Arabidopsis thaliana: one gene and its partners. The protein of the gene in region 2 interacts with the protein of the main gene of each other region in a pairwise test. Each region holds a gene or a part of one and is shown on either strand. Other genes may lie near its edges.

Region 1 (13,600 bases), on a different chromosome or scaffold from region 2:
GGGCATTGTGTTATTTCTGACTGGTTTATATTTTCATCAGAAATAATGTTGTTTTCGGAAAGCTAATTCAAGGGAAAGAGATATTGAAAAAAATTGAACGTGTGGGTGATGAGGAAGGTAAACCTACTGTCAGCGTGAAGATAATCCGTTGTGGAGAATATTCTGGAGGTACGAATCTGCTCCTATTGGTTTCTACTACATAAGTCATGATTTCACAATTATAACCAATCCATGCAGATAAGAAGAAAAGTGACGGTAAAAAAAATGGAAAGCACAAGAAGTCTTTAAGAGTGAGAAGAAAAAAGAGGCGAAGACACTCTTCATCTGAGTCTGAGAGCTCTTCAGATTCTGAGACAGATTCCTCAGAATCTGATAGTGAGTCAGATTCAGACTTGTCTTCACCTTCCTTCCTTAGTTCCTCGAGCCATGAAAGGCAGAAGAAGAGAAAAAGAAGTTCAAAGAAAGACAAGCACAGGCGGTCTAAACAGAGAGATAAGCGCCATGAGAAAAAGCGGAGTATGCGTGATAAGAGACCGAAACGCAAATCAAGAAGGTTGCAAGTCTTGTACACTTCACTTGTTATAGCCATAGTTTCCGTGTCAATGCTGGTTACTTTCTGAAATTTATTATTTTCTATGGATCTAAGCTAGATTAATTTTGTTCCTCTAGGATGTAATAATTTGATAGATATCCTAACAATTTTACTTACCTGTATCTGCTCCAGAGTTATTCACTTGTGTTCTGCAACTTTTCAGGTCCCCTGACAGTCTTGAAGACAGTAATAGTGGAAGTGAAGCAAGTCTTAGTGATGTCAATGTTGAAATTGGAGCAAAAAAGAGGAAACACAGAGTCTCTCGTAGAACAGGTAGTCTCTAAAACTCAAGACTTTTGGCTTCTGTTTCAGCTATTTTTTTTTGTTCTTTTTCTATTGGTCTGTCCGAAATTAAGGATGTTGGGATGGGACAAAATACTTTGCGTGCTATTTGATCATAACATATTTTAGTGTCAATTTGCCTTTTGTTGAAGCATTGTGTTGATCATGCGTCTTCATATTGCCGACATGTTTTTTTTTTTTGCTAATTTCTGTAGGCAGTTTAATAATGAGACTGTACACTCTTAACATTCTGTTTTTGACAATATTCAATCAGGTAATTCTGCACCAGCGGTGGAAAAAGAAGCTGAATCACTTCACCAGGGCAAAAGGAAAGGACCAGATTTGCTTGAAAACAGAGGGCTGAGAAGTAATGGAATTTCAGATGCTGCATCAGAACAGATTTCTGATAGGCAACCTGATATTGTCGATGATCATCCTAGTAAATCTAGGTCTAGTTTCTTTTCTCTCTACGCCTCATTTATTGGTTATTTCTCTCTTATTCAATATGAAGTCAGTCTTATTTTAAAGTTAATGTGCAGGAGCCGGAGCTTGAGTCCTAAGAGGACAGTGAGTAAGAGCACGAGTGTTAGTCCTCGGAGGAGTCAGAGTAAGAGCCCGAGTTCAAGTCCTAGATGGAATGGGGGCAGAAGTCCTGCTAAAGGTAGCCGCCAAGTGAAGAACTTGACAAACAGTAGAAGAGAAAGCCCAGGGAGTGAGGAAAAGGGCAGGCATGTCAGAAGGAGCCCTACCAAAAGTGTTAGTAGAAGTCCGGTGCGGGTGAAAAAGGAAAGAGATATTAGTAGAAGTCCTTCAAAGAGTTTAAGCAGAAGTCCACTGAGGAGCCCCAAAAGGGTCATCAGCAGAAGTCCAGTGAGAGGTAGGATTGCCAGAAGCCCTAGCCGGAGTCCTGTAAGATCTGCATCTCGTGGAAGCCTTGGGAGGGGCCCACTAAGAAGATCGTCAAGAAGATCACCTAGCAGAAGTCCAGTTCGATCTTCTAGAAGAAGCCTGAGCCGGAGTCCTATTCAATTATCTAGAAGAAGTCTGAGCCGGAGTCCCACTCGATTGTCTAGGAGAAGCCTAAGCCGGAGTCCCATTCGATCACCTAGGAAGAGTGTGAGCAGGAGTCCAGTCCGATCATCTAGGAAGAGTGTGAGCAGAAGTCCGGTTCGTTCATCCAGGAGACGTATCAGCAGGAGTCCAGTCCGATCATCTAGGAAGAGTGTGAGCAGGAGTCCTATTCGATTGTCCAGAAGAAGTATCAGCAGGAGTCCTATTCGATTGTCCAGGAGAAGTATCAGCAGGAGTCCTGTTAGAGGAAGAAGAAGAATTAGCAGAAGTCCAGTTCCGGCAAGGAGAAGGAGTGTGCGGCCTAGATCTCCTCCTCCTGACCGCAGAAGAAGTTTGTCAAGAAGTGCTTCTCCTAATGGGCGCATAAGGAGAGGGAGAGGATTTAGCCAAAGATTCTCATACGCCCGTCGATACAGAACTAGTCCATCTCCTGATCGATCTCCTTATCGCTTTAGTGATAGGAGTGACCGTGACAGGTGAATAGCCCACACATAATATAACTCCCCCTTTCTGTTACACACTCTCGTACTGAACCGTCTTTTTTATAACGTCTTCTCTGTAGATTTAGAAGTCGCAGAAGGTTCTCGCCAAGTCGGTTCAGAAGCCCACTAAGAGGAAGAACACCTCCAAGGTACTTATCCTCTTTAGTACATTGTTTCAGCTGATTCTTTACATCTAAAAGTTTCATGAATATGGAACTAAAATTGGTGATCCAAAAGAATTATTCTTGATTTCACAACTCGAAAGTATGCTCAGGTATAGAAGAAGAAGCCGCTCAGTATCGCCTGGTCTCTGTTATCGCAACCGGCGGTACAGCCGCAGCCCTATCCGTAGCCGATCTCCACCTTACAGAAAGAGAAGGTCACCATCCGCTAGCCACAGCCTGAGTCCATCGAGGTCAAGATCAAGATCAAAGTCATATTCAAAATCTCCCATTGGGACGGGGAAAGCAAGATCAGTGTCAAGATCACCATCCAAGGCAAGGTCTCCATCGAAGTCGGATTCGACATCCTCGGATAATAGCCCAGGTGGGAAAAAGGGATTAGTAGCCTATGATTAATGAATAATGATTACCCTTAAGTTAAGTGTTTGTTCTTTTTACTGAGAAGAGATGGTAAAGAGAGTAAGTAGTTTACTTCTGTAAAACATAAGCATTGTCTTTTGCGTATGTTTGTTTGATTATGCTCCAAGATTGTTAAAAATTTCTGTTGATGTTTGCCGACATTTTTTCTTTGTTGCCATTTGCCGACAAATGTTAACTTCCATTATTCGTTGCGGAGTTGGTTTTGGTCCAATAATTAAACTTTCATAAAATTAAGCATAACTAAATGTGACGTTTGTCACCAAACTTTAGAACAACGACATCGTAATTTATTTATTTGGATAATCAATATAATTTACGATTTCTTCCTACATATATATCATATCACTATACCACCGTCATTATCACTATCACTAAATATAAAAATGTTAAAATGATTTCTTAATGGAATTTTTTTTGTTAAAAGTTTATTGACACAAAAAATGAATTAAAACTCAGAAATCTGTATACTGAATTAAAACTTGTAAATATAACAACAAAATGGGATTAAAAAAAGAAGTGGCATCCATTTAAAAATTATTTGCGAATTCGCCCGTAACTTCTTAAGCTAACAATTAGAACCTAATCAACACTAGTTATTTTGAGTCCACCGACAGGTGATAGCAAATAAAAAAGAACAGGCTGGTACCAGAGCCAACAACAACGTGGCTTCTTCTTTTTTTTTTTTAATATAATCAAACAATCATACTTTGTCCTATCTCTTTCTTGCAATAAGATTTTGCCACGTCACATACTAAGAAGCTGGCGCGTCTAGTGGGGAAGCCAGAACGGCTCACTTTAAAAAGTAGAGAGATGATAACTTGAGCCGAATAGAGCCGAGCTGAGCTAAAACGGTGGGAGAGGAAGAGGCTACTACTACCGTCACCATCTCCGGTAAAATAATGTACTTGTCATTTAAAAATTAAGAAAAAACACATCACTCTGCGATAAAATAGGCAAAAGCAGATTTGAAGAAGAAGCAGCTTGAGATATCAAATAGAGAGAGAGAGTGACAGAGGAGTGTGTGAACATCCTTTTTTAGTAGATTTGGGTTTTCGAGATGCCGTATTGAATCGGCTACGAATTTCCCAATTTTGAATTTTGTGAATCTCTCTCTTTCTCTGTGTGTCGGTGGCTGCGATGGAGGCCAGTGCCGGCTTGGTTGCTGGATCCTACCGGAGAAACGAGCTCGTTCGGATCCGACATGAATCTGATGGCGGGGTCTGTTCATCTTCCCTTTTTCCCATTTTTTTGTTATTGTTTTTCGTTCTTACAATTTTTGATGTGTAGATCTCATCTAGATTTCTCTGTTTCTAAATCTCGTCTCTTTTGGATCCATAATTGGATCATTGAAACTCAGATTTCGCTTCCTTTGACTGTGTAGTTAGTTAGTGTCAGTTGATCAAGTAAGTGTCTGAAAATGGAAACTTTTCTGCTCCAATTCTTCAAATTGTTGTGATCTATATCAATTAATGCCGCATCTGTTTTCTTAAAATCTCTTATGGAAAGTGTCGGTGGATTTCAGTTCGTTAACTTTTTTAAGCTAAAATCTTTGACTCTTAAAGTTTAGCTTTACTTATTGAGATTTAGCTCAACTAGATCTCGTTAGTTCCCGCCATGGGATACAGACTGTGACTCGCCTTAATTCAGATCTGCATTGATTGTTTTGATTTAGATCCTTGCTCATCTCTTTCTGTAGTTTCTAATACTCAATGACTAACAATGATGCAATGTTGGTCAAAGTGCAGACCAAACCTTTGAAGAATATGAATGGCCAGATATGTCAGATCTGTGGTGATGATGTTGGACTCGCTGAAACTGGAGATGTCTTTGTCGCGTGTAATGAATGTGCCTTCCCTGTGTGTCGGCCTTGCTATGAGTACGAGAGGAAAGATGGAACTCAGTGTTGCCCTCAATGCAAGACTAGATTCAGACGACACAGGGGTCAGTTGTCTTTTTCTTTTTGTTGGCAATTGCTATATATGGATTTTCTCTTTTTGTTTCTTTGCTGTTGTGTTGAACAATTTTTTGGAATTTTCCAGGGAGTCCTCGTGTTGAAGGAGATGAAGATGAGGATGATGTTGATGATATCGAGAATGAGTTCAATTACGCCCAGGGAGCTAACAAGGCGAGACACCAACGCCATGGCGAAGAGTTTTCTTCTTCCTCTAGACATGAATCTCAACCAATTCCTCTTCTCACCCATGGCCATACGGTAGGGACCTACATTTTCCCTTTAGACTCTAGAGTGATTTGTATTACTCAATAAATCCCTAGAGTGGTCATTTATTACTTACTATTCACGTTAATGTTATATGTGAACAAATCTTAACAGAATTTTTTTCTGATAGTACATGGTCATCCAAATTAAGAAATAATAATAGATGTTGTTAGTTGTGTCTGTTTTCAATAGATTCATGACCTTTTTCTATACACAGGTTTCTGGAGAGATTCGCACGCCTGATACACAATCTGTGCGAACTACATCAGGTCCTTTGGGTCCTTCTGACAGGAATGCTATTTCATCTCCATATATTGATCCACGGCAACCTGGTATTCATATGTTTTTCCCTTGTGCACGTGGTCTTTGTTAAATGTGATTCCTATTCATTTTTACAACATATATATTTTGTGTACCGTAACTGATAGCTCCCGCTAAAAATTGCAGTCCCTGTAAGAATCGTGGACCCGTCAAAAGACTTGAACTCTTATGGGCTTGGTAATGTTGACTGGAAAGAAAGAGTTGAAGGCTGGAAGCTGAAGCAGGAGAAAAATATGTTACAGATGACTGGTAAATACCATGAAGGGAAAGGAGGAGAAATTGAAGGGACTGGTTCCAATGGCGAAGAACTCCAAATGTAAGTGGAAATACTAGACCAATATCTTTATTGTCCAACTCAAACAGCTCTTGGCCGTGATGCTAATAACCACTCTTGGTTTCTTATTATGTATTGATAGACATAATTAAGTATCTGCTTTGTTACATTTGTTTCCTTCCACTCAATTATGGTTCTCGTACTTACAGGGCTGATGATACACGTCTTCCTATGAGTCGTGTGGTGCCTATCCCATCTTCTCGCCTAACCCCTTATCGGGTTGTGATTATTCTCCGGCTTATCATCTTGTGTTTCTTCTTGCAATATCGTACAACTCACCCTGTGAAAAATGCATATCCTTTGTGGTTGACCTCGGTTATCTGTGAGATCTGGTTTGCATTTTCTTGGCTTCTTGATCAGTTTCCCAAATGGTACCCCATTAACAGGGAGACTTATCTTGACCGTCTCGCTATAAGGTTGGTCTTTAAGTTTATACATCCCCTACTCTCATCTCTCTTTTATGTATTAACTTGATATCTTCTATCACAGTTTTCGATAGTTGACTTTTTCCCCCTGTAAATTTAATTTAAATTTAGACAATGGTGCATCTGAATTTTGATTATGATATATCTTAAGAAGATTATGATTGTAAATCTTGAAATTTAGTAGAAAACCATCTGCAATCTACTGACCATGTGAAGTTTCCGACTAGACTATGATAGAAGCATGCCAAGTGGAGTGTTTATTAAGATAGAGCTTAGCTATTATACTGATTTTATATGTGTTTTGATTTTTTGGTTTCTTATTGTAGATATGATCGAGACGGTGAACCATCACAGCTCGTTCCTGTTGATGTGTTTGTTAGTACAGTGGACCCATTGAAAGAGCCTCCCCTTGTTACAGCAAACACAGTTCTCTCGATTCTTTCTGTGGACTACCCGGTAGATAAAGTAGCCTGTTATGTTTCAGATGATGGTTCAGCTATGCTTACCTTTGAATCCCTTTCTGAAACCGCTGAGTTTGCAAAGAAATGGGTACCATTTTGCAAGAAATTCAACATTGAACCTAGGGCCCCTGAATTCTATTTTGCCCAGAAGATAGATTACTTGAAGGACAAGATCCAACCGTCTTTTGTTAAAGAGCGACGAGCTATGAAGGTCATTTGAAAAGTCCACCTGCTTCTCATCCATACGGCAAAGAGATTGACTGACTTTTTCTTTGGTTTGTATTGACAGAGAGAGTATGAAGAGTTTAAAGTGAGGATAAATGCTCTTGTTGCCAAAGCACAGAAAATCCCTGAAGAAGGCTGGACAATGCAGGATGGTACTCCCTGGCCTGGTAACAACACTAGAGATCATCCTGGAATGATACAGGTACAGTGTGGCAATCCCTTGATTGTGACAGAGAGGATAACGTAAAGGAAACATGTTTACATCGTTTTGTTTCAATTTCAGGTGTTCTTAGGCCATAGTGGGGGTCTGGATACCGATGGAAATGAGCTGCCTAGACTCATCTATGTTTCTCGTGAAAAGCGGCCTGGATTTCAACACCACAAAAAGGCTGGAGCTATGAATGCATTGGTTTGTTAACTTTCAGAATCCTATTGTGTCCTCTATTTTATTCTCTTGTTCACTGCCTAAGAAACGTTCTTCTTGTGTAGCCGTTGCTTCACATTCTTTTTTTTCTAGGCTATGTGTTCTCTCCTAATTTAGTATCTCTTTACTTTGACAGATCCGTGTATCTGCTGTTCTTACCAATGGAGCATATCTTTTGAACGTGGATTGTGATCATTACTTTAATAACAGTAAGGCTATTAAAGAAGCTATGTGTTTCATGATGGACCCGGCTATTGGAAAGAAGTGCTGCTATGTCCAGTTCCCTCAACGTTTTGACGGTATTGATTTGCACGATCGATATGCCAACAGGAATATAGTCTTTTTCGATGTGAGTATCACTTCCCCATTGTCTTTTGTTTCTCTTTTGTTCATATTTTGGTTGGATTTACTCGTTTCTGCTATGGCCTGACTTGGATATTTGTTCTCTTGGGCAGATTAACATGAAGGGGTTGGATGGTATCCAGGGTCCAGTATATGTGGGTACTGGTTGTTGTTTTAATAGGCAGGCTCTATATGGGTATGATCCTGTTTTGACGGAAGAAGATTTAGAACCAAATATTATTGTCAAGAGCTGTTGCGGGTCAAGGAAGAAAGGTAAAAGTAGCAAGAAGTATAACTACGAAAAGAGGAGAGGCATCAACAGAAGTGACTCCAATGCTCCACTTTTCAATATGGAGGACATCGATGAGGGTTTTGAAGGTTTGATTGAGCTGATTGTGTAATAACATCACTTCTTTATGTAATGATTTATGTGATGGTGAAATCTTACAATCCTTGTTTATGCAGGTTATGATGATGAGAGGTCTATTCTAATGTCCCAGAGGAGTGTAGAGAAGCGTTTTGGTCAGTCGCCGGTATTTATTGCGGCAACCTTCATGGAACAAGGCGGCATTCCACCAACAACCAATCCCGCTACTCTTCTGAAGGAGGCTATTCATGTTATAAGCTGTGGTTACGAAGACAAGACTGAATGGGGCAAAGAGGTCAGTTTTCAAATGCAGCTACAGAATCTTCTTATGTTCTCTTTCTTACCTGTTTGATGACATCTTATTTGGCACTTTTGTTAGATTGGTTGGATCTATGGTTCCGTGACGGAAGATATTCTTACTGGGTTCAAGATGCATGCCCGGGGTTGGATATCGATCTACTGCAATCCTCCACGCCCTGCGTTCAAGGGATCTGCACCAATCAATCTTTCTGATCGTTTGAACCAAGTTCTTCGATGGGCTTTGGGATCTATCGAGATTCTTCTTAGCAGACATTGTCCTATCTGGTATGGTTACCATGGAAGGTTGAGACTTTTGGAGAGGATCGCTTATATCAACACCATCGTCTATCCTATTACATCCATCCCTCTTATTGCGTATTGTATTCTTCCCGCTTTTTGTCTCATCACCGACAGATTCATCATACCCGAGGTTTGTAAAACTGACCACACTGCTATTTACTATTTGAATCCCATTTTGTGAATGCATTTTTTTGTCATCATCATTGTTGCAGATAAGCAACTACGCGAGTATTTGGTTCATTCTACTCTTCATCTCAATTGCTGTGACTGGAATCCTGGAGCTGAGATGGAGCGGTGTGAGCATTGAGGATTGGTGGAGGAACGAGCAGTTCTGGGTCATTGGTGGCACATCCGCCCATCTTTTTGCTGTCTTCCAAGGTCTACTTAAGGTTCTTGCTGGTATCGACACCAACTTCACCGTTACATCTAAAGCCACAGACGAAGATGGGGATTTTGCAGAACTCTACATCTTCAAATGGACAGCTCTTCTCATTCCACCAACCACCGTCCTACTTGTGAACCTCATAGGCATTGTGGCTGGTGTCTCTTATGCTGTAAACAGTGGCTACCAGTCGTGGGGTCCGCTTTTCGGGAAGCTCTTCTTCGCCTTATGGGTTATTGCCCATCTCTACCCTTTCTTGAAAGGTCTGTTGGGAAGACAAAACCGAACACCAACCATCGTCATTGTCTGGTCTGTTCTTCTCGCCTCCATCTTCTCGTTGCTTTGGGTCAGGATCAATCCCTTTGTGGACGCCAATCCCAATGCCAACAACTTCAATGGCAAAGGAGGTGTCTTTTAGACCCTATTTATATACTTGTGTGTGCATATATCAAAAACGCGCAATGGGAATTCCAAATCATCTAAACCCATCAAACCCCAGTGAACCGGGCAGTTAAGGTGATTCCATGTCCAAGATTAGCTTTCTCCGAGTAGCCAGAGAAGGTGAAATTGTTCGTAACACTATTGTAATGATTTTCCAGTGGGGAAGAAGATGTGGACCCAAATGATACATAGTCTACAAAAAGAATTTGTTATTCTTTCTTATATTTATTTTATTTAAAGCTTGTTAGACTCACACTTATGTAATGTTGGAACTTGTTGTCCTAAAAAGGGATTGGAGTTTTCTTTTTATCTAAGAATCTGAAGTTTATATGCTAAGCTTTTCACTTTACTACAAAAAGTTTATGGATATGATGGTGTACGTCAATTGTTGGTGCAAGTGTTGATGTCTTCGGGTGAACTCGCCCTCTTGTTTTGTCTCACCCATCAGTACAAATAGAATGACATTTATTTTTTTGAACTTTTAACGAAATCTTTGTCATTATGGGACTTGATCAGTAAAGTTACATATTTGAAGAGATATTGTGTAAACTCTTATTTGAATCAGAATCAGATCAATCAAAAATTGAAAACGTAAAGTTCAAACAAAAAGGTAGAGTGAATCTTTTAATCCCCCCTCAATACTAATTTGTGAAATCTCAAGTGGTGTAAAATGAACCCAATTAGTATCCACAATGTGTTTCTCTGATCAATCCTTAAAATTTGCCACGAATCCATACAATTCCAAAATCAAGCTTCTTGGTTGTTCTCGATGAGTATCTTCTTGCAAGCTTCATAACACATGAAGGAGATTCCAGCAGCAGGAACCAACTTCAAGCAACTCGGTCCAAGCCCTTTGTACCAACCGAGAATACCTTCATGCTCAAGTATGGTCACCAGAGCGTGCAACATGTTCTTGTACACAACCCTCCCGCTAACAGCTCCCACCTGCATATGCTTCCGGGCCACTTCAAGAGGGAAAGTTGCAGTGCTCGATAGTGCACCTGCTAAAGAACCTATCAAAAGAGTCTCAATGTTTCCAATCTTCTCCTGCTTTGAAAAACTCCGGTATGCTTTTCTCAAAGAATCATATGCAAAGTAATTTGTAGCTGCGTATGGAACAACTCCAATAAGGCTAGGAGCAAGACCCCTGTAGAGTTCTGTGGGTCCTTCCTCGCGTATGATTTTGAGAAACGCATCAAAAATCCCTTTGTAAACACCTCTCTGCAATAAGTTTGGAAGACCCATTACTGAGCAAAGAACTATATAGATCCGATATTACAATGAACTATCTAACTGAATTCTTGTCAAAAACAACGTGACATGTACTAAGGCCACAAATCCTTCAGCTACAAGGGAGTGAGATCACCTAATTATTTCTAACAAAATACAATCTAAATGGATCAAACCTGAATTGTAAGGCGAGTCTTGACTAGTTCAAGAGGGTATGTCAAGAGTGTCTGGCTAACTCCAGCACAGGCACCAGCCAGTAAAGAAGCTGGAATTGGGATTTTCGATTCTTGTCCATGTGGCGGCGACAATTTCTTGTTTACGGTCTCGAATACAAAAAGCTACACATACAAGAATTGGAAAACAAAGAAAGTTGAGTACCAAAGTCTCATCAATTCAGCATAAGACACAAGACTTTTCACAGGTAAAGAGTCAACGAGATATATTAGTATAAAAGTCAGAAACTTGCTCAATCTGCATTTCAATTATAAACAATGATACATGTTTGGTTAGGATTATCATAGTGGTACCTCGACGGCTCGAGCAGGTGCAACACGAATGACATTGACCAAATTGCCCCTGAAGAGACCAGTCCAACCTTCATGCTTCATGATATCACTGAACACTTCAGTGCTGGAGTTTCCTCCACTTCCCACCATTAGATGCGTCCTGATTGTCTCCAACGGCGCAACCACCGTTCTCGACACCGCTCCAGCTACTGCTCCGCTTAATAGCCGCCGCAACGAAGGATTAGCGATCTTAATCTTCAGTGTGAGCCCACCTTTCTTCTTCCTCTTCCTCTTCTCGCCATTAACTACTTCTTCCTCCTCCTCTTTTCCCGGCATATACTTGGTGTAGAGATCATTGAGCTGGGTAGAGAAGCTGTTGTTGCCTCTGTTGGAAAGATCCGAGGACGAGAGGGATGCGAATGGATTAGTCTGATTAACGCTGGCGAATAACCCACCAATTGGGTGGTAATTAGAGCTGTTTAGGCTCGAATCGAATCCTAAATCGGAAACGGAGAAAAACCCATTCCTCGAATCGTCGAACAATTGGATTCCGGTTTTCCCCATGACCAATCGTCGAACAATTGGTCGTCCCTTTCGTTGAGATTTTAGGGTTTTACTTTTAACCAGTCTGCTAGTTTTCTTGCCCTTTTTGGGTGGGTTGGTAGGTAGGTCAGTGGGACGTCGACTGCGGCGCTTTGATTTTTTTTTATTTTCTTTGAAACTAAAATTAAAAAGAGTTTTATATTTTATTGTTAAGATATTCAATTATTTTCTAGAATTGGGAAATGCAAATCCACGAAATAATTGCCGACAAGCAAATGTAGTAGAGCCGTATAAGAAGTCTCGGTTTTTGTAGTTTTCACGTGTGACCAAACCTTTAACCGAAACTCAATCCAGCTGAATTTCAAAAAGAAGTAAGCCACATGGGAGCTTTTAAGTTTTTTTTTTTCTCGCGTTCATGGACTGGACAAACATTCTTTCAATGGGGTTGGGCTCAAGCCCACTTCAGATCTGGTTCATCACAAAACTCAAAACGATTGTTGTTGTTCGAATTATGTCGGAGGCAAGCTCAAATAGTTGTTGACACAAGCTCATATAGTGAAAACTGAACAACCTATATAGTATTGAGTTTGTCGATGTCAAGTATGAGCTCTATGATATGTTTGTAAGTTTAAACATGTTTGCTTTCCGACACAAAGGTTCAGTTTCATGCTTTTAACATCTTTATCTTGAATCTTGATAATAACTTAGAACCAAACAGGATCTCAATGGCATTATAAAAGTAAACCAAAATAGATTCATAAGAAACAAAGAAAACTCCATAGAACACAAGATCCGAGTGGTACATTGTAAATCATCACAAAGACATTAAAACTTCTAAAATCCTTGTACCATCAAATCCACTATGTAAATATAATCAGCCATAACTTAAAAGTAACATAGCAACTAAAACTCAAAACCAGAGAGATTGACAATAAGAAAGACGATCATACCTAAGCAAAGAAGTGAACCAAAGATGATGCGCAAAATCCTGTTGAAAATTTTCCTCCAAAGCTACCAAAATCATCCTAACACTTCAACTCTTATTCCTCTGAATTCCACACATTCATCAAATTCACAAACCTTTCCTTATGATCATCAACTCAATCAGTCTTCTGTTTCATTCCGTTTCGCAGCAGCTTCACTTTCCCTCTCTTCCAAAAGCTTCCCAGCTTCTTCTTCATCACCTTGCTGAACCTTCTTCTGAGCATCCTTAGCCTTCAACGCCTGTAACTTGCAGTGATTGTAATACGCAACACCCAAGAACGCAAGCCCGTAACCAAAGAGATTAAGCGGAGTCACCGTATCTTTAATCACAGACCAAGAGAAGGCAATCAATAGCCAATCCTTAACCACACCAGCAACATTCATTGTTAAAGCCGAGGTCTTTCCAACGAGGAGGAACACAGCAAGGTTCAAAGCAAATGCACATACGGAATTAGTCCCAAAAATCACGAAATCAAAGTGGAAACTCGAAGTTTCCCTAAGAATCGGAAGCTCGACGAAGATCCAAGGGAAGAAGAGGAACACCAAACAACAAGGAGCAACGTAGTACAATGAAGTGATTGGATTAAGATTGATTCCTTTAGAAGTGAGCAAGATCTGAATCAAAACCAACCTCGTTGCTTCGAAAGCTACAGCACCAAGCTGAAGCATAACTCCCCAAGTATCGAACTTAGCCTCACCATAAGCAGCAATCGCAACACCGAAAGAGATCGAGAGCATATTAGTCATCGTCTCCGATTTGAACGATTC
Region 2 (10,232 bases):
ACTTGTAACACGTAATCACGTATAGGGTAGTAGTTAGACATCTTTTACAAAGTTATAAATTTACAATAAGTATAAAGTGGCCGTGTGGATAAATAAAACATAAAACATTTGTCGACATAAAAATACATTAAAGAAGTGATATATATTGGTTTCTAATTTATCAATAAATTTGAAGATTTTGATAAAATTATAGGTGGTAAAAAAATAAAAGATTCTAAATTATAACTAAAGTGTTTTCTATAATTTTATTAATTAGTTTTTAGCAATTTTGTAAAATTTCTCAAACAATCTCTCTATTTTAATGAGACTTTTATAATTTTATTTTGTAAAAAACGTGTAGAAAGTTATAAACCAATAACACAAAAATTTAATTCATAAATATTCAAAGATTTTTTTGTTTTAGTTGAATAACACAAAACTTTGAATGACTTTATAAAAGTATGAATTCAATAATTCTAAATTTATAAAAAATTTAAATTAATAATACCAAACTTTTTAAAAAATTTGATTAAATAACAATATATTCTCAATAATATTTTAAGTCATTAAAACTTTATTTAAATCCCAAACTAATAATACCACCTAAAATGTTAAAATACCATAAAAACTTCAAACAATCTTCCTACCTGTTTCTTCTTTTGCAACTTGGATATAAAAGCGGCGTGTAAACAGTCTAAAAATAGTTTAGAATAAAGCCTAATAAAACAGATTAAACTAACATTTTTAAGTTATAGCATGTTATTTAATTATTTATGCATGTGACTTTGGTATTATTAGCCAATAGGAAATAACAATAATATATGTTACGACTTTTTTGAAGCAGACTTAAAGATATTAATTCATTACATACGCGTCAAGCGTGTGTACGTATATATCAACCACATATAAATAGAGAGACAAAGGAAGGAAGAGAAGAGTGTCCATATCATAGATTAAAAATCATTCGTTAATCAAACCACAAAATCTAACTTCCACACACAAAACACACATACACAAGAAAATAAAAATAAAAATGGAATTAGTTGAAGAGACCATTCCAAAAGAAGGGAAAAAGATGGGAGAAAGAATTGTGGTCGACAAAGCTTATCTTTACCAAGAAGACAAACCACTCACCGTCTGCAAGACTTCTCTCTTCTACACCGGCGATGGCTTCGCCGCCTATGACTGCCGTGGTGATATCATCTTCAGGGTTGATTCTTATGGACCTGACACAAGAGATAACGATGAGATTGTCCTCATGGACGCGACCGGGAAGTGTCTCCTTACCGTTAAACGAAAGGTAAACTTAATTCATCCTTTTTTTCTTCTTAAAATTATGTTGGGATGAGTAAGAGTCTAGTCGTGAGGGTGACTAGCTAGGTGATTATAATAAATTTTGATGCTCAACTTCTTGTGCTGAATTTGATTAGATGGGTTTGGTTTAAAAAATGAATTTCATTGGTGAGCATCCATCAGAATTCAAGAATCTTTTGCTAACCTCTTTTTTTTGTCAAGAAAATCTTGATAAGTTTTTTGTATTGGTAAACAAATAATGACTTGGCTAGAATCGATAAAAATCATTGTTAGAAACGAGATCTGAAGAAATTGTTTTGAGCTGAAAATTTTAATCAACTTTTTGTATAAGCCTAATTCCGAGTCATCGACTCAGTTGCTAACACAATTTATAGTGTCCTTTATTTGTTATATAGTAGTTCTAAAGATGATACTGAGTCAACTCGTTGTTTATTTTTCTGATGAACAGAGACCAACTCTACACCAAAGATGGGAAGGTTTTCTCGGCGAGAGATCGGAAGGTCAGAAACCGATATTCAGCGTCCGTAGATCGTCGATAATCGGACGGTGTACGATGGAAGTAGAAGTTTACGACGGAACAGGAGAAGAGTACATTATCGATGGAGACTTCTCGCAACGAAGCTGTCTCATATACGACACGAAGAAATGTACTGTGGCTGAGATCAAACGCAAAGTAGACGCGTCAACGAACGTGATGCTTGGTCGAGATGTGTTCACTCTAGAGATTAAACCGGGTTTTGATGGCGCTTTCGCGATGGGTTTGGTCGTTGTGCTTGACCAGATCAACGGTGATGATCCAGTTGAGATTGGTGATGAACAGGTACACCCTTTTGTAGAGGATTAGTGTCGGTCTCTCTCTCACCTCTCTCAGCGGTCTTCACGTTAACATATCGAATCTAATCTTTAGTTTTTCAATCTTTGGATTTGGACCATATGGGATTATGGAGATCTGTTTGTATCATTCTGTGTTAAGTCATTTAAGTTGCTACGTTACATAATATTTATAGACTATAGTCTGTCTCGGGAAATTCGTTGACTATACGTTTGATGTTACAAAATTATTTGTGCGTTCTAAATTTATCGATACATGTTAGAAATTTTTTAAAATTATGACGATCCAAAATCTATCAGTTGACCAGATTAGATGTGTTAAAGATTTAATTAATTATAAGTTCGATTGATAAATTTTTATTTATTGTGTTAGTTGCAAAATGTTTCTATCGAAGTACTAACTTTTTTAATATATAGGAGAGATGTAACGTGTATCGTACACATGTTTACTGCCAAGTGGAAATTGAATCTCATGAATAATTTTATTAGTGTTAGTTGACACAAGATCAGAGAGTGCGTAGGAATATTAATACATAAATAGAAGGTGGTCGAATAAGATTTATAAGAAAACTATATAGGCATCTAATAAAGAGAGAAGATATATCTTGACTAATGCACTCTCTAGATTTGATTCGTTAACGTAATCAAAATTTTCATGCTCACGTAAATACATGGTTGATAGCTATATATACCAAGTAGACAATGGACAAAACAAATAAAATAATTTTATAGTTAGAACAAATACTTGATCAAAATTTATGTGAGTACACAACATTTAAATAGTTATGTAGCTAGTGATGTTTTCATGTGATTGAGTCCCATCAAAAACTCACATATGCAGCTTATGTAATAAACTTTTTCTTTAACTGTTTTTGACTTGGGATGAAATATTTAGAGAATAATGTAGAAAAATCCAACATTTACCCTCACTAAACAATATCATTTCAAGAAGACATTACACAAAGTAATTAGGAGCTCGTATATTAACATTTTAAAGTTAAAAGTGACTAATCACAAGCAAATCAAGAATTACGGGTTAACTTGATAATCAAAGGACCAATTAAAAAAATCACAAATCTCACAAGTGGAACAACCGGTGAAAAAGAAGAAGAAGACACGTGAAAGCAGAAGCGGAAACAAGAGACGACTTAAAACGATACCGTGTGGCAGAAGAGGACTTGAGTCCGGTTAAGCCAATATCGTAGGCAATAGTACCATCGGGTTTAAAAAGGCCAAAGTTTCTCTCGGAAGTGGGACCTGGTTTCGAGTTCTCGTTGAAAAGAGCAAACACGTAAGCTCTCACCACCATGTCTGGTCTGTACGGTGTTCCTTTCCTCTTCTGCAGCCGCTTCCTAAGATTCCGATTATATGTTCTCGCGTTCTTTACCGACGCTCCAGGCTCGTCTGCATCGCCTTTTGATGCCCATCCCGTCTCCGAAACAATCACCTAGGTACAATTAAATGATTAAATCAGGTTCGCATGACGCTTTTAAATCCGCGTACGACAAGACATGTAGCTTAGTGCATGTAGTACTGATAGCAAAAGATAAAAAATGCATGTTACTGATAGAAAAATAAAAATGCATATAACGAGTCAAATTATTCAGTTGAAACTCATATAATGCATGTTTTTGACCCCAAAAAAATGTCTTTAGTCTAGTTTGACATTTACGTTTGTACTTTGCAAAGCTTGTAACAAAGGGAAAATGTTAATGGAAACCAAACAAAAAAAGGGTTGATAGTAATAAGGATCGGACGTACCGGGACTTTTGTGTAGCCAGCTTTTTCGAGAGCAGCATAAGAAGCATCGACCATGGCGTCGAACATGTTATCGTAATGAAGCTTGGTTTTAGGGTCCAAGATGCCTTTGTTGTGCTCGAAAAGGGCGTAATTGATGTCAATTGTAATCGGGTCGGATTTATATGCAAGAAAAGGGTAGGCGTTAATGTAGAACGGCGACTGAATTTGCCAAAAAAACGCTAACAACGGCTTCATAAACGGCGCCACATCGTCCCTGAACGTACACGAAGACGGTGGATACGAGTTCGCAAACACTGCCTCTGAATGTGGACTCGACACCTATAAACAAATATTGAATGTTTTAGGCTAAATCATCATTTAAGTTCTAAGTTTGATGTCCTAAAAATATTAGAGATGATTTAAAAAGAAAAAAATTCAAAGAGAAATCCAAATTGATGCATGCCTACTAACGTATCTTAGCTGGATTATGATCGACATGGTCATATCATTAATACAAACTTCTGTTACTAGGTTAATAGATTTATATATTTAAACTGAATCATTTTGGGTTACAAAAAAATGATTGATCATTTTGTCTGTAAGAAAATTCTCAACTTTACTCGGAAAAAAATAATGTATTTATGAGATTTAACGTTGGTTAAACGTGCAATCTTTTAAAAAAACTTTTTCCAAACAAAATAAGCAAATTCGAGATGTCATGGTTTTAGCGACATGTTTGGTATGCAAGATTAAGGTAATGTACCTCGACGACATTGTGAAGACCGAGACGGCGAAGAGCGGAGTAAACGTTCTTGGCTGCGGGTAAGAGAGCTTCCCAAAGCCCGATATCGGTGCCACCTAAAATCTCGTTACCCACCGCGATACCGCTAATTTTAGTACCGCCTCGTATGAAAGGCTCGACGTTTTCTTTAATCCAGTTCATGGCTCGGTCTTCTCCTACACTAATGTCTTTGAGAAACTCGTTGCCTAAGCCAACGATGATTTCAATCCCGGTCCCGCGGAACGCCGTGAGTACAGAGTGGTCAGCATCGTAGATACGGGTGTTTCTAATCTTTGCTGATTTAAGGAGAGTTGCTACCGCGTCAGGAGACGGAAGATTATCCGCTATGCGACCGTAGTTTACACCATATGTTCCGATGAATGCTACGGCCGTTTGTGAAGAGAGTATAGAGAAGACTAAGAGAAACGAAAGGAAGAAAGAAGAGAAAACCATATGTGAAGTTGGAGACTTTCGAAGAGGAACACAATAACCCATTTGAGATACTGTCTCGAATGATGTTTTTGAAAACAGAGCAAGTTTTTTTTTTAATCCTAAAATGGGAACAATAAGAGTTTATACTATGAAGTTGTTCCTTAATAGAAAGATTCTAAACCCTCGTCCCTGGGACCATGCAAAAGGATGGAATCAAGGAAATAAGAAAACTAACATTGTAAGTCTTTCTTTGCATTAGATTCTTACTTTACTCTCAAAGCAAAACTTTTACCTTTTTCCTCTTGTCTTCTTCTGCTTTCTTCCATTTTTTTATTTGGGTTTCCCATTTTATGGCGTTCAAATGAAGATTGAACCAATGATAAAAAGAAATCTAGAAGATTAATCTATGTGTGGATCTTTAATCTGACTTGTTCATAACTTGATTGTCCATCCATACGAAAATGACTAAAGATTGTAGCAGAAAGATAAAACATCAAACCTAGTGATTGCAATGGTTTTAGAGAAGAGTCAATAATATATCCTCTACATAACCTTACAACCAAACAGAACTTGCACATATCTCATAATACATATCTCAGCCTAACAACACCTTTCACCGCGATAATGCTCCGAGTAGGAAGCAAAAAGGAAACCATATACTTCAATAGATTGATAGAAACAACTGACTTACAGTTTCATGAGCTAACAGAAGCAGAGCAGAACAGGGCTATCCGGTAGCTTCTCCTTCTGCTGTTTTCTCTTTCCCCTCAGCTTCTGTGGTCAGACCATTTTCTTCATGGTTTCTGGTCTCAGCTTCAGAATTCTTCTTCTCATCACTAGCTTCAACGGTCTTCTTCTCTACATCTACCGAGTTCTTTTCGATTGAGCCAGTATCTTTTTCTTTGTCAGTCTCCTTACTCTTATCATCAACAGAATCCAGAGCTTTCTCCTTCATCGACTCACCCTCTTCTTGAACTGGAGCCGCATTTGGAGTTTCCTCAGCAACAATGTTTTCTTTTGCATCATTCACCCTCTCAGTTTCACCGGAGCCATTCTTATCGGTCACATTTTCATTCTCGGCGATTCCCTCTGGAGGATTCATTTCAGTATCTTTCACATGAGAGTTTTCCTCTCCTCCTCCCTCTGATTTCTCACCTTCTGCATCTTTCTTTGACACTGGAGATTTGGTTCTACCTCGCTTCTTGGGTGGCTCTTTATCTGGTGACGGCGTAGCCTTAGTCTTCTCACTGATTCTTGCAGATCTCCTAGGTGTCCCACTAGTCGTCCAATCAAACTCTGCGATCGCGGGGTTTCCAGGGTGCGATTTGAGATACTGCTCCAGCTGCTTTCTGTTACTAATCTCCTCACCCGTTGGAGCCACAAACACAACCTCTGTTTTCTTCACTGAACCCACTTTGTTGGGGTAAAACTGCAAAAACAAGTCAGTTAATGTAAACCTCTGAAAATATGAAAATTTGAGGTTCAAAACGCTGAAAGATTAAATTCTAAAGAAGACCTTAATGTAGCTTAAACAATGTTTACAAGTGGCTTAAAATCCATAAGAATCGGGAAAAGTAAGAAGTAAATCAAACATAGTCAAAATGAGGCATTAAGTCAAGAACAAAGAAGTAGAAATAGTAGATCAAACACAATCAAATGTGGCTTTTTCTAAGTCTATAACCTTTGAATCACCTAATCAACATAAAGTTATTTACACTTATACTAACATTTCGCCACCAAAAGCTACCATATTCAGAGTCTTCAAAGAAAAAGATTTGGTAATTGCAGCACTACACATATACAACAAATTCTAAGTCTTTGTATGAAACAAAGAAAACAAACCAATTTCTTCCATGAAGAAGGTGCTGGTAGCTCAACAGAAACAACTTCCTCTTCACCACCCATCTCTCTCCTTTCCCTTTAGCAACCCCTGAAAACAAATTAGAAAGATCAACCACAAAATGCCAAGAAAACAAAAACAAAAAATTTAACAATTTACACGAATGAAGCAACAGACAACCTAGGGTTTGATTGTCGGAAAGCAAAACAGAGTTTAAAATTTTAGGGATTTTGCTCTGCTCTTCTTTTTCTCTTTTGCTTAACACTATGGTTTTAGACCTTTTTTTACTACCAGAAACACACAGAGTATATGATAAAGTCACTTGGAGGTAGCACAACAACTTAACTAACAACCCAATTAAGTTTAACCACGTGTCTATATCCAGTGATATAAAATGCGCTCTATCATCTATATTCTATGGTAACAACGACACGTTAAAGCCTTGATCAAAAGGTGTTAAGTCGACTCGGATGTTCGCATTTAATGCAGATTTAGACTTACTTGGTGCTCATGCAATACACGTGCCAAATAGTTAACGACTTTTCTCCATTTTGGGGGAAAAAAACTCTAATGGAGTATTGCTTTGGAGTCCGGTAAAACAGAACGTTACTGTGGTTTAAACTCTTTAAAGCCCATAAATTAGGCCCATTCATGTCTTGAGTCCTATTGCTCAACGACGCCGTTTTTTAAGCATGATCAGATGGAGACTGGGAAAGAATCAGGAATTGAGTACTATATATCACTAGCATTAACCAAGAAGATAACACGATCTTATTGTTTCCTATTATCATCTGAATAAGTGATGTACAAGGAAGATGCTTACTTGGTGAAGTTTATACAGGTAATTTGATCTCTTTGAAGTCTTGATATATATACAGTATAGAGTAGTAGATAATCACCAAAGCCTCTTCATATATGGAAACTACTTGAAACGTGAACCCTTCTTGCCTTTGCCTTTACCCGTCCCATCTGTGACTGTAACCCAGAAGAAGAGAAACATCCAAAAGAACACTGCGAGGAAAATCTTTACGCGGTCTTGAACCCTTGTCACAGCTCCCACAAGACCTTTACAAAGAGAAAAAGAAAACAAGAGTATTCATTTCACTTAGTATCAGTCATGAGTGCAGTTTTTTCTATTTCCAGCCTATCCTTCTATGTTATAAAGGAATCATCACCCAAGCTATTCAACATAACATATGGACTAATTGCAGAACCAATGAACATACAACTACTGCACAATTTTACATCTTAAGAGAAAATTTAGAAAATCCCCACATAAAATGGTAGCCATTTTGAATCATAAGGAGTAAATTCCACAATCCTAATTGCCTAAGCCAAAATCATGTCACAAGATTTGAACTTTGGTTCCATGGACACAACAACTAATTGGATGAAATCATCCTCATGTTTTGGAAGTTTCATGATACAATAACAATCTCAGCACGATTCAATACCAAGTACTAACCTAAAAGACTCCATACTTATATCAAACTATCGGATAAAAATTGAAACTTTCGACCCAAAACACAACAGTTAAAGTGAAAACTGAAAAGCAAGTACAACAAAGACCAACCAAACAAAGTAGGATTCAAAGGACCAAAATATCAATCTGGGCAAGAAGAATCGAACCTTCTAGCTGAGTGGTGTCCTCAGGCGGAGGCGGATCAGGGCCTGGAGGAGAAGGAGGACCACCAGCGACGGCGAGGCGGCGTAAACGGCGGGGACTCGCTAGTAGGACGGTGTTTCGACGGTGAAGGTGATACGGCGGTGAGAACGGCGAGAGAATTGAGTAGTGGTAGAGGTTAGTGCTTGTGGTCGGGTTGGACAAAGCCATCGCCATTTTTCCTCGACGATAAAATTAAGAACTCATTTTTATTTAAGGGGTTTCTGATTCAGACATACACGTGTACGACAATTTAAAAAAAAAACATTTTTGTGGAAATTACTCCAAATCAAGAGAATTTTATAAAATTTGATCCATCAACAAATATTTTTTGTTGGGTGTATATATTTTTCTCAGCTCTCTTTACAATTGTAAATGTGTAAAAAAGAATCTTTTAGCCGTATAGACCTTCTTCTTCCCAAACTTCAACAAGAAACTGCACCATTTCCTGCAATGATAAAACTTTCAATAACAAACAAAATTTGGATGAGAATGGATAGTTACTTCCTCCAGTTCATGGAGTTGAACTTACATCAAGAGGTATAGGCCTCGGAAATCGCTTGTTGCTCCCAAGTAGACTCTCATAAGTCACATTCTCACTGCAAAAACAATCAAACTGTTTATATTCCACACAACAGTTGGACTCTTCGAACCATTAGGTCTTATATAATCCTCACTTTAGAATCGGTTCTCGACCAACGCTTTTACGGCTCTCGGATCTTTTATCTCCCACCCATTGCTGCCGAGTTTGATTCCATAGCACAAGACCTGTAACACCCCAAAAAATTCTCCAATTATTTTTCAAATGCTCAATAAGACCAATCACCAATCATACTCTTCTCACTCACTGACTCACCATGGTTAACAAATTCAGCAGGTTCATTAGAGCTGGAACCACATCCTTGAGAATCAATAGTCAGATTGGTTGTACTGATTGAAGAAACACTTCCGTGAGCATTGCTTTCCATATCTAAAGTGGTATTAGTCCAGAAATCTTCAGAAGCTACTACACTAGGCTTCCTCAATTCACTCCAATCTTCTTCTACTAACACATCTTTTGTGCCATTCAAAGGCACATCTACACTTGTTTTTGCTTTCGACTTATCAAAACAAGCCAAACAACTACTGCTGTGTTACAAAATCATTAAACATATCATTCATTTTGTGTAATAGCTAAACCAAATCATCATCCAAACAAAAACATCATCCTTATATCCAAAAGCTTATTCCTTCAAAGCTCAAATCTTTATGAATACCCAAAGCTAAAAACTTTCGAATTCCAATGGCCCAGATTAAAAAGATAACATTTTTCGCCACAGAATCAAAAACCTTATACAACCTTAAAACGAGTTAACTGACTTACCCCATCGTGGAAAGACAGAGACTTTCTTAGATCATCAAACGAAGAATCGAAAGCAACCCAACAAAACTTATCAATCGATTGGGGAAATGATCAAAGACCCAATCGGAAGAAGAGAAGTAAAAGGAAAGACGATTTCTTTTTTCTCTTTTCTGGGTTTTGCGTGTATCTGGAAGTTTCGGATACTTCATTTCGAAGAAACTTGAAAGAAGAAGTGCCCGACCCCACGTATAGCCCCAAAACGACGACGAGCCATGTGTAGAGAGTGTAGTGGTCGTGTGGAGTTATAAGG
Region 3 (9,031 bases), on a different chromosome or scaffold from region 2:
GGATGTGACTATGATTATGGTTGGTGATCATGGAATGGTTGGAACTTGCGATAAAAAATTGGTGGTTTTAGATGATTTAGCTCCTTGGATCAAAATCCCTAGCAGTTGGGTACAGTACTACACTCCGTTGCTAGCGATTCAACCCCCTTCAGGGCACGATGCAGCGGATATAGTGGCTAAGATAAACGAAGGTTTGAGCTCGGGTAAAGTAGAGAATGGGAAGTACTTGAAGGTTTATCTCAAAGAGGATTTACCTAGCAGGCTGCATTATGTAGACAGTGACCGCATCCCGCCTATTATAGGACTAGTCGATGAGGGCTTCAAGGTGGAGCAGAAGAAAAGTAAAGCCAAGGAATGCGGTGGAGCTCACGGGTATGACAATGCCTTCTTTTCGATGAGAACTATATTCATCGGGCATGGTCCTATGTTCTCAAAAGGAAGGAAAGTGCCTTCTTTTGAGAATGTTCAGATATACAATGTGATCAGTTCGATTCTAGGACTTAAGGCAGCACCAAACAATGGATCTGATGAGTTTTCTTCAAGCATTCTCTTGCCACGCGTGTAGAAGAGTAGGGTAAGTTTATTCTTCTGTCAATAAAAGGCAGTCTAGACTCTTGAGACTTTGTTGTCAAAACATAAACGCGTTTGACCTCTTAGACGTTTTATGCGTTTTGATCTGATTGCTGTTTTTGTATGATTTCATCACGAAGTTGCACTAAAACGTATTGTAGTATTTCGGAGTATGAAACTTGTCTTGACATTTGATGCCAAGATTGGAAGCTTTGTACTTTCCTTCAAAGAAACAATGCTTTGAATTGGATACTCGATTCTTTGCCAATAATTGGAAACAATTTAGTGTATGTTGGAATTATCAACACTTATCACCGATGTGTCCTATTTTCTTGCAATGATTTTGTTGCATCACATGTTATGTTTTTTCTTTCATTACTTGCTTAGTTTATTGGAACAGAACAGATTCACTTAAATCCTTATAACAAGAACCTTCCTCTTTTAAAATCGTGATCGAAAGTAGAAAACTTATCAAACCTAAGTATATGCTAGACTTGATTGATCAAAAATACGAATCTAATTAAACCCAAATCGCCTTCAAATTTGATATTTTTCTTTAGATTTTTCTGTGTTTGTACATCAATTAAAGTTGGGATCCAAATAACAAATAAACATAGATGGCATTTAAGTAAATAAGTTTGTTATGTGTGTAAAGAAAAAAGCATTACTTATCTGCGTTCCGTGTTAAAACACGATTCTAACGGAGAAACAAAAACGCGTTTACGCTTTTTCAACTATCATATCGACAAAACGCCAAGTGGATGATGGCGGTTTAAACGCTATTTAATGTTGAAAAATCGCGTCTATGTATAATTGGAGAGACATGATGAGAGAAATATCACTGGAATCTGAACCAGACAGTTTCTGATCTTCTTCTCCTTAGAGGATCTCTCGGAGAAGATTCAAAACCAAGAACAATCTCAGTCTCTATCTCTCTCTCTGGGTGCATTTAGATGGCTGGAGTTGTGCGATTAACGACGACGTCGGTTCAAGCCATTCGTGTCTCCTCGTCCTTCAGCTCCTTTGCCACCGCTCTTAATCCTCTGCAACCTTGCTTACCTCCAAACTCGAATCTGAATTCCGACAAGAGATTGCGTCTTCTCTCATCTTCTCCTTCCTGCTCGTCTTCTCATTACCACCCATCTTCTGGTCTCGGAAGCCATCTCCCCCTTAGACGACCCAAGAGCCAAGTGGTTCGTGTCAAGGTACAAATGTCTTGCCTTTTAGCTGATTCTGTCCGTAAATCGTATACCCTTTTGGAAATTGAGACTCTTGAGCCCATTTCTGATCTCTTGTTATTCGATTTGGTCTTTCGCCTCTAGCTAGAGCCTAAACGTGAATTGTGACCTTAGCTCACTGTTATGTTCTCATTCCACTTCAGATGTTTAGAATTTAGTCTAAAGTTTCAGTTTTTTTGTTAGAGACGGTGATGCTATTGATTGCTTTGATTAGATGGTGATGCTTTCGGCCATAGTTTTATGTTTCTGATGTGGGTTTGTGGTGTAGGTAGATGAAAATGTAGCCGAGACAGAGCCACCGAAATGGTGGGAGAGGAATGCTCCAAACATGGTCGATATTCATTCTACTGAAGAGTTCTTGAGCGCTTTAAGCGGTGCGGGTGAAAGATTAGTTATTGTAGAGTTTTATGGAACTTGGTGTGCTTCTTGCAGAGCATTGTTCCCAAAGGTTAGTGTCATGTGACGTATCTATTCCATGAAACTATAAGAGTTTCATTTCTCTTTCGTGATTCTGTGAGAAATTTAGATGTTTTTTTTGTGTCTGTTTTGAAAATGTTTTCAGCTTTGCAAGACAGCGGTGGAACATCCCGATATAGTGTTCCTTAAAGTAAACTTTGATGAGAATAAACCGATGTGCAAGAGTTTGAACGTGAGAGTGCTTCCTTTTTTCCACTTTTACCGTGGAGCTGATGGTCAGCTTGAGTCATTCTCATGTTCTCTTGCTAAGGTAAAGAAGGCTATTTCGGTTTCACCTTTTCCGCAACTAGAGCTTGGCATAACGCTTCAAACAAAGAGAACTACTTCGTTGTTCTTTTTCGATAGGATCTATCAAATATTATAGACCCTTTGCTGATATTGATACCAAAACCGGTTGAATGCATTTGGTCTGTCTCTGATTACTATTTGACATCCTCTTCTTTTGAATATTTGTGTGTATTCAGTTTCAGAAGATAAAAGATGCAATCCAACTGCACAATACCGATCGTTGCAGCCTCGGTCCAGCCAAGGTACCTGAAGGCTTAACATTAGCCAAACCAGCTGCATCAAGTTGAAGTGCCAGATTTTTAGATATATTACTAAGGCAACAATCTTTGGTTGCTCAAGCAAATACTCAGCTTAAAATTCTGTATATCGTCATATTTTTGGGTGTAAAAGAATACTTCCTAAAGCCAGTTACGATTCTTCTGCTAATAGTCAATTGCAAATGTATTTTCACTACTGCTGTTCTTTATTGCTTTAAAGCAAGCTTATTGATGAAGTCATGTGAGGTTGCATAAGTCTCATTTCCATAGTTTTGGGGTAAATTTATAACTTTCTCAACTTACCGAACGATAGTGAAAAACAAATACATAGCACAATGGTTACAATAATCATGTGTTGTGATTACAATTTACAAATTTACAAGAATCATATCAAATAAGATTTTTTAAAAATTTACAAATGTGAGCTCAAGACTTTTAAGTGTTAAAGATAAGTTAAGGGCTGAAAACTAAAACATGTAGGAATAAGAGGACTGTTTGGTAAACGTTTTAACGTTTAAAGTCTTGCCTTTTGATATCAGATTTTTCTCAGGTTCCCACGCGCCGCCGCGAAACAGCTAGACGGAGAAATCCAAAATTCGGCGAAGGTTTGAGAAGAGAGAAATCTGAGAGATGCAAGGAGTGTGGAGCCAACTATGGAGGAAATATGCTGATTATAAGTACAATAAGTTCGAGAGATTTGCTGTTTGGGAAATGATCGAACCTTACCGTCGACCAAAAACCTTCACAACTTTGATTACTATCTATGTCGCCGCCTTTTACACCGGCGTCATCGGCGCTGCAGTTACAGAGCAGCTCTACAAGGTCAGCTTCGTATTGTTATCGATTCAGGCCCGGAATTGCTATTAGATTTGTGGGTTCTAATTTGATTCTCGTGATTGGTAAATGTTAGGGTTCGAAATGTGATAAAATTGGAAATGATTCATTGTTGATTACTAATAAAGGATTGTGTGATCATGAAAAGAACTATACTTGAATTGCTTTTCATGGGAATGGTTCATTAGGTCTTTCAATGAAGCTTTTACGTCTTGATTAGTATCTAATCTAATTCATTGTTCTGTAGTATATTGTATTCTTTGTCAATGTGTTTCTTACACTGTTTTGTGTTAGTATCAGTTATGTTTCTTGTTTGAGTGTGAACTTTATGTTACTCCACTCTCTGTAAACAGGAGAAGTTTTGGGAAGAGCACCCAGGGAAAACAGTGCCTCTGATGAAGCCAGTATTCTATCGAGGACCATGGAGAGTTTATCGTGGTGAGGCTATTGCTTCAGATGCTAGCAGCCAGTGAAGCTAACGATTAGGCTATCAGAGACTATGGTGAAGGATGTATCTCCGACTTTGATACGCAGATATAAATGGATTTATACTGGTTCACTAGTATATGTATATCAAAAAACTTCTTTTGGTTCAGTAGAATGTTTGTGTCTGTATTTCGAGTCTAATGACTCTCTTAAGAATCTATTTTCTAGAAATTACATGTAATGACAGTCTCGTTATAGTATAAGGATTTGATTTGAGAAGTTTAAGGGTATCCATTCATTCCTTTGAATATCTCTGCTTGTATCTGCCTCTCTTCTGGTGTCCTGAAATAAAACATTCCCAAATAAGATAGATGATCTAACTACCTCAGAAACATTGAGCCAACACAGATTTTTCTCTTCAAATTAGGTTGCTTCACATTCTTTAGTCCATATAGATTCCTCTGGGGACGTACTCTGTTTCTTTCCTTCCTTTTTTTTTTTGTTTGTTGCTTGTGAAAGAATATGACAACCTATGGCACTATACCATCCCAAGAAAATGCTTCGTCGAGCCTGAGCTTATTAGGACGAGCCAAAGAATTGATCTCGTTAGGTCTTAGCTCTCAAAGGCCATGGCTTGAACTTGTCCAATGTAGTGCCTTTAGCCTTCCTATCTCCTTTAGCGTTGCCACTGAACGAATCAAATCCAACATCATGATCTTTCGAACCAACTACATTGTTATCTTCATTGTTAGTATCTTCATCAGCATGCTTTGGCAACCCGTCCACCTTTCCGTCTTTGTTATCTTGATAGTAGCATGGCTATATGTCTACTCCCGTGATAATGAACCATGGGTGATATTTGGCAGTGTGATCGATGATTCTACTTTGGTGCTGGTTTTGTTGGTCCTCACGATCGGTATATTTCTACTAACAGATGTATCCCGCGGTATTGTGATCGGGGTTTTGGCTGGTTTGCCCGTTGTTCTGGTTCATGGCATGTGTAGGAGGAATACAGAGATGTTGTTCGTCTTGGAAGATGATGAAGAGAAAGTGGCAATGAACACATCATCTTCGTCACTTTCTTCTTCCTCTTAAGTCTTCACAATTGAGCACAAGATTTTCAGTTTTTCTTTCCTGAATTTGTCTACATAGTTCAAAACAACGCATATCCAGTGAAGGAACGTTAACATGCTGCAAAAAGAACTTGAGCTCTTTTGCGATCAAAATTCAGGATGTGGATATTGATGTACTGATGCATGTCAGAGACCTTGGTGACAAATAAAAGGCAATTTTGCGTGCTGATTAAAAACATTATCCTATGATAGAATTCCTATCTAATTATCTCCAACAAGCCAATACAATAACGAAGACAAGTGTGATCCTCTTCTCAGTTATCACTTATTACAAATTATCCAATCGATTCTCTCATTTTCAACAATTACGAATTGAAAGGTTGTAACTTTATATGAACAATGATCTAGTTTTTAATTTTATCACAACAATTATCAAGTTCAAATGCAATAGGGATTTGGCTATATATACCATTTTACTTTTTAGACACGACATGAAGAAGTAGTTAGACCATCTCCAACAAAGAGAACCCCAAAAAATTCTCAAATAAAAAAAATATTAATATTTTACTATAATTTGATTATACAATTAAATTTTTATTTTAGTAAAAAAATTAGATAATTGTAAAAGAGATAAGTGTTTAAAAGGAACTCTCTAAAATATCTGAGGTGGTTTAGACGTCTCGCTAATATCAACCGGCCTAGTCCCAGAGTGAATACAATATTTTTACATTTGGTAAATGTTAAGCAAAACCAACTAAGACTTATTCCTAATAAACATATTTAATTTATTTATTTCAAAGAGATAATTACATAGGTTTATATTGTCTATGAAGAATTATTTTGTTTATAATTTTTTTAATATGTTATAGTGTTCTAGAATTACCAAAATATAAAGTTTGTTAATCATGTTTAATTTAAAGCAAAAAAAGAAGATAAAACATAAGAAAAACAAAAGCAAACTACAAGCAAAATATATATAAATTTTCAAGATTTCTCCTTATTCCTCCAAACTCTATGCATTTTAAAATAGTTGGTTTGAGGATGTATTGTTTATTATTTCGTTATTATCATGCTTTATATATATTTTTGAACTTTTTGGATCAAAAATAACAAATCTAAGTATTTTGACAATAATTTTAAATACGATCATTTAATATCCTCAAATTTTACAAAAAAGCTGATCGAAAAAAGTAGTCCAATCGATATTACCGTTATTTTTCTCTTAAAAGTTTTTGTTTTTTTGTAGGGTTTCAGATTTTGGTTTGACCCGATCTACAGCAGAGGGCAACGAATCAATCATGACAAAGTCTATCCTCGGCACATATGGTTACATGGCACCTGAATACGCATGTATGCTTCTTCTCTAATCTGTTAATGTTTATTACATCGGATCACCAATGTTATTGTTATCTAACAGCTTAAACTTTGTAAGTGCATTGATTGGAAGGGTAACTACAAAAGCTGATGTCTACAGTTTTGGAGTTATTCTCATGGAGTTAGTCACAAGCAAGGAAGCTTTAGACAAGAAGCGATCAGATGCTGAACATCACATTCTCAGTTGGTTCAGGAGAGTCTGCATCGACAAAAACTCTTTTAGAGAAGCCATTGACGAAACAATTTAAGTGAATGAAGAGAACCGCAACATCATTGACGACGTAGCGAGACTAGCAATTCACTGCTGCGCCAAGGAGCTCACTCAGAGACCAGAGATGAAGTATGTTGTCTCTACACTTACCTCACTCTGTGACACTTGGAAGCCTAGTGAAATCGTAGACAACGACAGGGAGGACACAAGTGTATTAGAACTTGTAAAGAGATGGAAGGAGCAAGAGATGGAGGGAAGCAGCAGCGGTATCATTGTGGTTTGATGGAACTTCTATAGATATGTAGTGTGATGTAGAGTTTATGGTTCATTTGTATAGTAGAAGTGTAAGTTTTGAATATGATTAAGTTCAAAGTCTAACCTCTTCGTCATGATTTTTGTTTCAAATTTGTGGTTTCTTGGTCAATGTGAAGCAGGGATTCTTTATTCACTAGTATATATAGCTTTGTTATGCCTCAATTTTTATTTTGATTTCGCTTTATTCAAGGTTTTCGTGTCTCAATTTAGGGTATCGTTATTGAATTTCTTGGGCTTCAATTTAGGGTTTCTTTATTGAATCTTTGGGGTTTTACCCTCTCGCAAGTTAAGCTAATATATACATTATTCGAAAGATATCTTGAATGTAGAGCTTGATGTACCAATATGTAAAAAATCTTCTCTGTTTCATGTAACATTGGAAATTCCTAGATTTATATTGTTCTGACATTACATTTAGATTTGCTTTTAAGAAGTTATTGTATTGTGATTATTGGCATATGATTATAAACAACTAGTTATATAAATTTTGCAGAAGTGTTTTACTTTAGGATTAATTTGATTGTATACCTTATATTTTAGTATTAATTTGAAATCTACACTATAATATTACACTATTTGAAATATATTTTATATTGGTTTTAAAATGACATGTTTGTCCTTAATAAATAGAAACCATTAGAAATAAGACACTAAATAAATTGATTAATTAGTTATAACAAATTTTATTTTTAAACTAAACTGTTTATATTTAAGAAATTAGATATTCAAACTATTTTAGAAAATGTCAATTAATTTTATCCATTATATTTAATTATGGTAAAACTTCAATAAAAAATCTGTAGTTTTCAAATATCCATATATTGGGTATATTGTTCAAGATTTTAATAAAATTTGGTACATTTATAAAAATCTCCCCTTTTTTTTTATATACTAAAAGACCCAAAAAAGGTTTTATGGGCCCAAAATGTTATTTTGCCCTAGGGCCTTTGATAGTGTTGAGCCGGCCCTAACACTTAGCAGGAGTTTGCTCAATGGACCACGTTATTCTCTACTTCGATGTCTTTACCTCGTATGTAAGATTACAACATACAAACTAGATTGAGTGATTACATTATAAGATTCATGTGTGATTCAGGAACCATTTTTCTTTTTTTCTTGTTGAAATTAACTCATGAACCAGTTTTCAAAGCAAACAAAAAGTAGTTAGGATTACGTTGGTAGTTTAGTAGAAATTAGAGTGGTCAAAATCAATGAAATAATTTTACTTTAATACATTTTCATGGTATGAATAGTAAATATATAAAATAAGAAAATTATTCAAGATGCATAATGACTCGTGACCTTTTTTCCAAAGAAAATTTGTTTCATAGTAGTTAGGATTACTTTAGTAGCTTAGTAGAAACTAGAAAGGAATGTGCTAAAGAGTAGTAATTAAATAATAATTCAATAGTTGTAGTTCGTCACATTTTCATGGTATTGAATATAGTAAAAACAAAAATGTGGAAATTAAATAAATCTTTATACTTTTGTAATAAGACTTTTAGGAGTTCATGGAAGCTGTTACCATCTTCTGTGAAAAACAAATATATAATCCTTAAATTCAACCCTTCTAAATTCTTATTATCCAATTGCGCACTTAGTAGGAGTTTTGCCATTGGTCAGTGGACCACATTATTCTCTACTTCGATACGTTTGGAAGTGAGACTTTTATTTTACCAACTAATGGAGATTCATGCAAAGATATCTATTTTACTACTTTTTTTTGCTTCTGCAAAACCAAAAAAGGTTCGATAACTTTATTACGTCAGATTCTTATTTTAATTTTATCATAAACAGAAGACACAATAATATATGATTTAATAAGGTCCGTATCTAATGTAGGAAAAAAATCGGATAATCGTAGGTTTATAGAACAATATGTTATTCGTAATGACAAAAGCAATTCAGAATATTATTCGTTTGGAGCCAAGTATTGTGACAAACAAAAACAGTGACATTTCTAAGTGC

Evidence for each region.
Region 1: the proteins of AT3G15800 (region 2) and CESA1 interact in a protein complementation assay, tested with the Arabidopsis thaliana proteins (one large-scale study listed by BioGRID).
Region 3: the proteins of AT3G15800 (region 2) and PRA1.C interact in a protein complementation assay, tested with the Arabidopsis thaliana proteins (one large-scale study listed by BioGRID).

Annotation. Positions count from the first base shown.
Region 1 is NC_003075.7:15,636,955-15,650,554, reverse strand, and holds CESA1 (cellulose synthase 1), read left to right. Parts: upstream 1-3,710; 5' UTR 3,711-4,166; coding exon 4,167-4,247; intron 4,248-4,774; coding exon 4,775-4,970; intron 4,971-5,068; coding exon 5,069-5,241; intron 5,242-5,464; coding exon 5,465-5,579; intron 5,580-5,694; coding exon 5,695-5,884; intron 5,885-6,051; coding exon 6,052-6,318; intron 6,319-6,653; coding exon 6,654-6,999; intron 7,000-7,077; coding exon 7,078-7,215; intron 7,216-7,296; coding exon 7,297-7,422; intron 7,423-7,573; coding exon 7,574-7,786; intron 7,787-7,892; coding exon 7,893-8,157; intron 8,158-8,244; coding exon 8,245-8,441; intron 8,442-8,525; coding exon 8,526-8,876; intron 8,877-8,958; coding exon 8,959-9,546; 3' UTR 9,547-10,065; downstream 10,066-13,600. Other genes in the region: AT4G32420 (Cyclophilin-like peptidyl-prolyl cis-trans isomerase family protein), read left to right, coding at 41-168, 238-553, 756-865, 1,149-1,323, 1,414-2,421, 2,508-2,576, 2,702-3,005; SHS1 (Mitochondrial substrate carrier family protein), read right to left, coding at 10,317-10,790, 10,976-11,137, 11,327-11,869; AT4G32390 (Nucleotide-sugar transporter family protein), read right to left, coding at 12,953-13,600. UniProt on the Arabidopsis thaliana protein: Catalytic subunit of cellulose synthase terminal complexes ('rosettes'), required for beta-1,4-glucan microfibril crystallization, a major mechanism of the cell wall formation. Involved in the primary cell wall formation.
Region 2 is NC_003074.8:5,339,959-5,350,190, reverse strand, and holds AT3G15800 (Glycosyl hydrolase superfamily protein), read right to left. Parts: upstream 5,203-10,232; 5' UTR 5,141-5,202; coding exon 4,628-5,140; intron 4,204-4,627; coding exon 3,886-4,203; intron 3,572-3,885; coding exon 3,203-3,571; 3' UTR 3,044-3,202; downstream 1-3,043. Other genes in the region: AT3G15810 (LURP-one-like protein (DUF567)), read left to right, coding at 1,013-1,279, 1,742-2,137; MBD11 (methyl-CPG-binding domain 11), read right to left, coding at 5,805-6,506, 6,920-6,982; AT3G15780 (uncharacterized protein), read right to left, coding at 7,840-7,982, 8,547-8,757; AT3G15770 (uncharacterized protein), read right to left, coding at 8,975-9,028, 9,113-9,179, 9,258-9,348, 9,437-9,708, 9,944-9,948.
Region 3 is NC_003075.7:14,529,601-14,538,631, reverse strand, and holds PRA1.C (prenylated RAB acceptor 1.C), read left to right. Parts: upstream 1-4,558; 5' UTR 4,559-4,612; coding exon 4,613-5,185; 3' UTR 5,186-5,695; downstream 5,696-9,031. Other genes in the region: AT4G29680 (Alkaline-phosphatase-like family protein), read left to right, coding at 1-565; ACHT2 (atypical CYS HIS rich thioredoxin 2), read left to right, coding at 1,524-1,775, 2,077-2,256, 2,371-2,649; EMB2752 (embryo defective 2752), read left to right, coding at 3,461-3,652, 4,018-4,137; AT4G29654 (Protein kinase superfamily protein), read left to right, coding at 6,178-6,206, 6,418-6,489, 6,581-6,720, 6,796-7,031.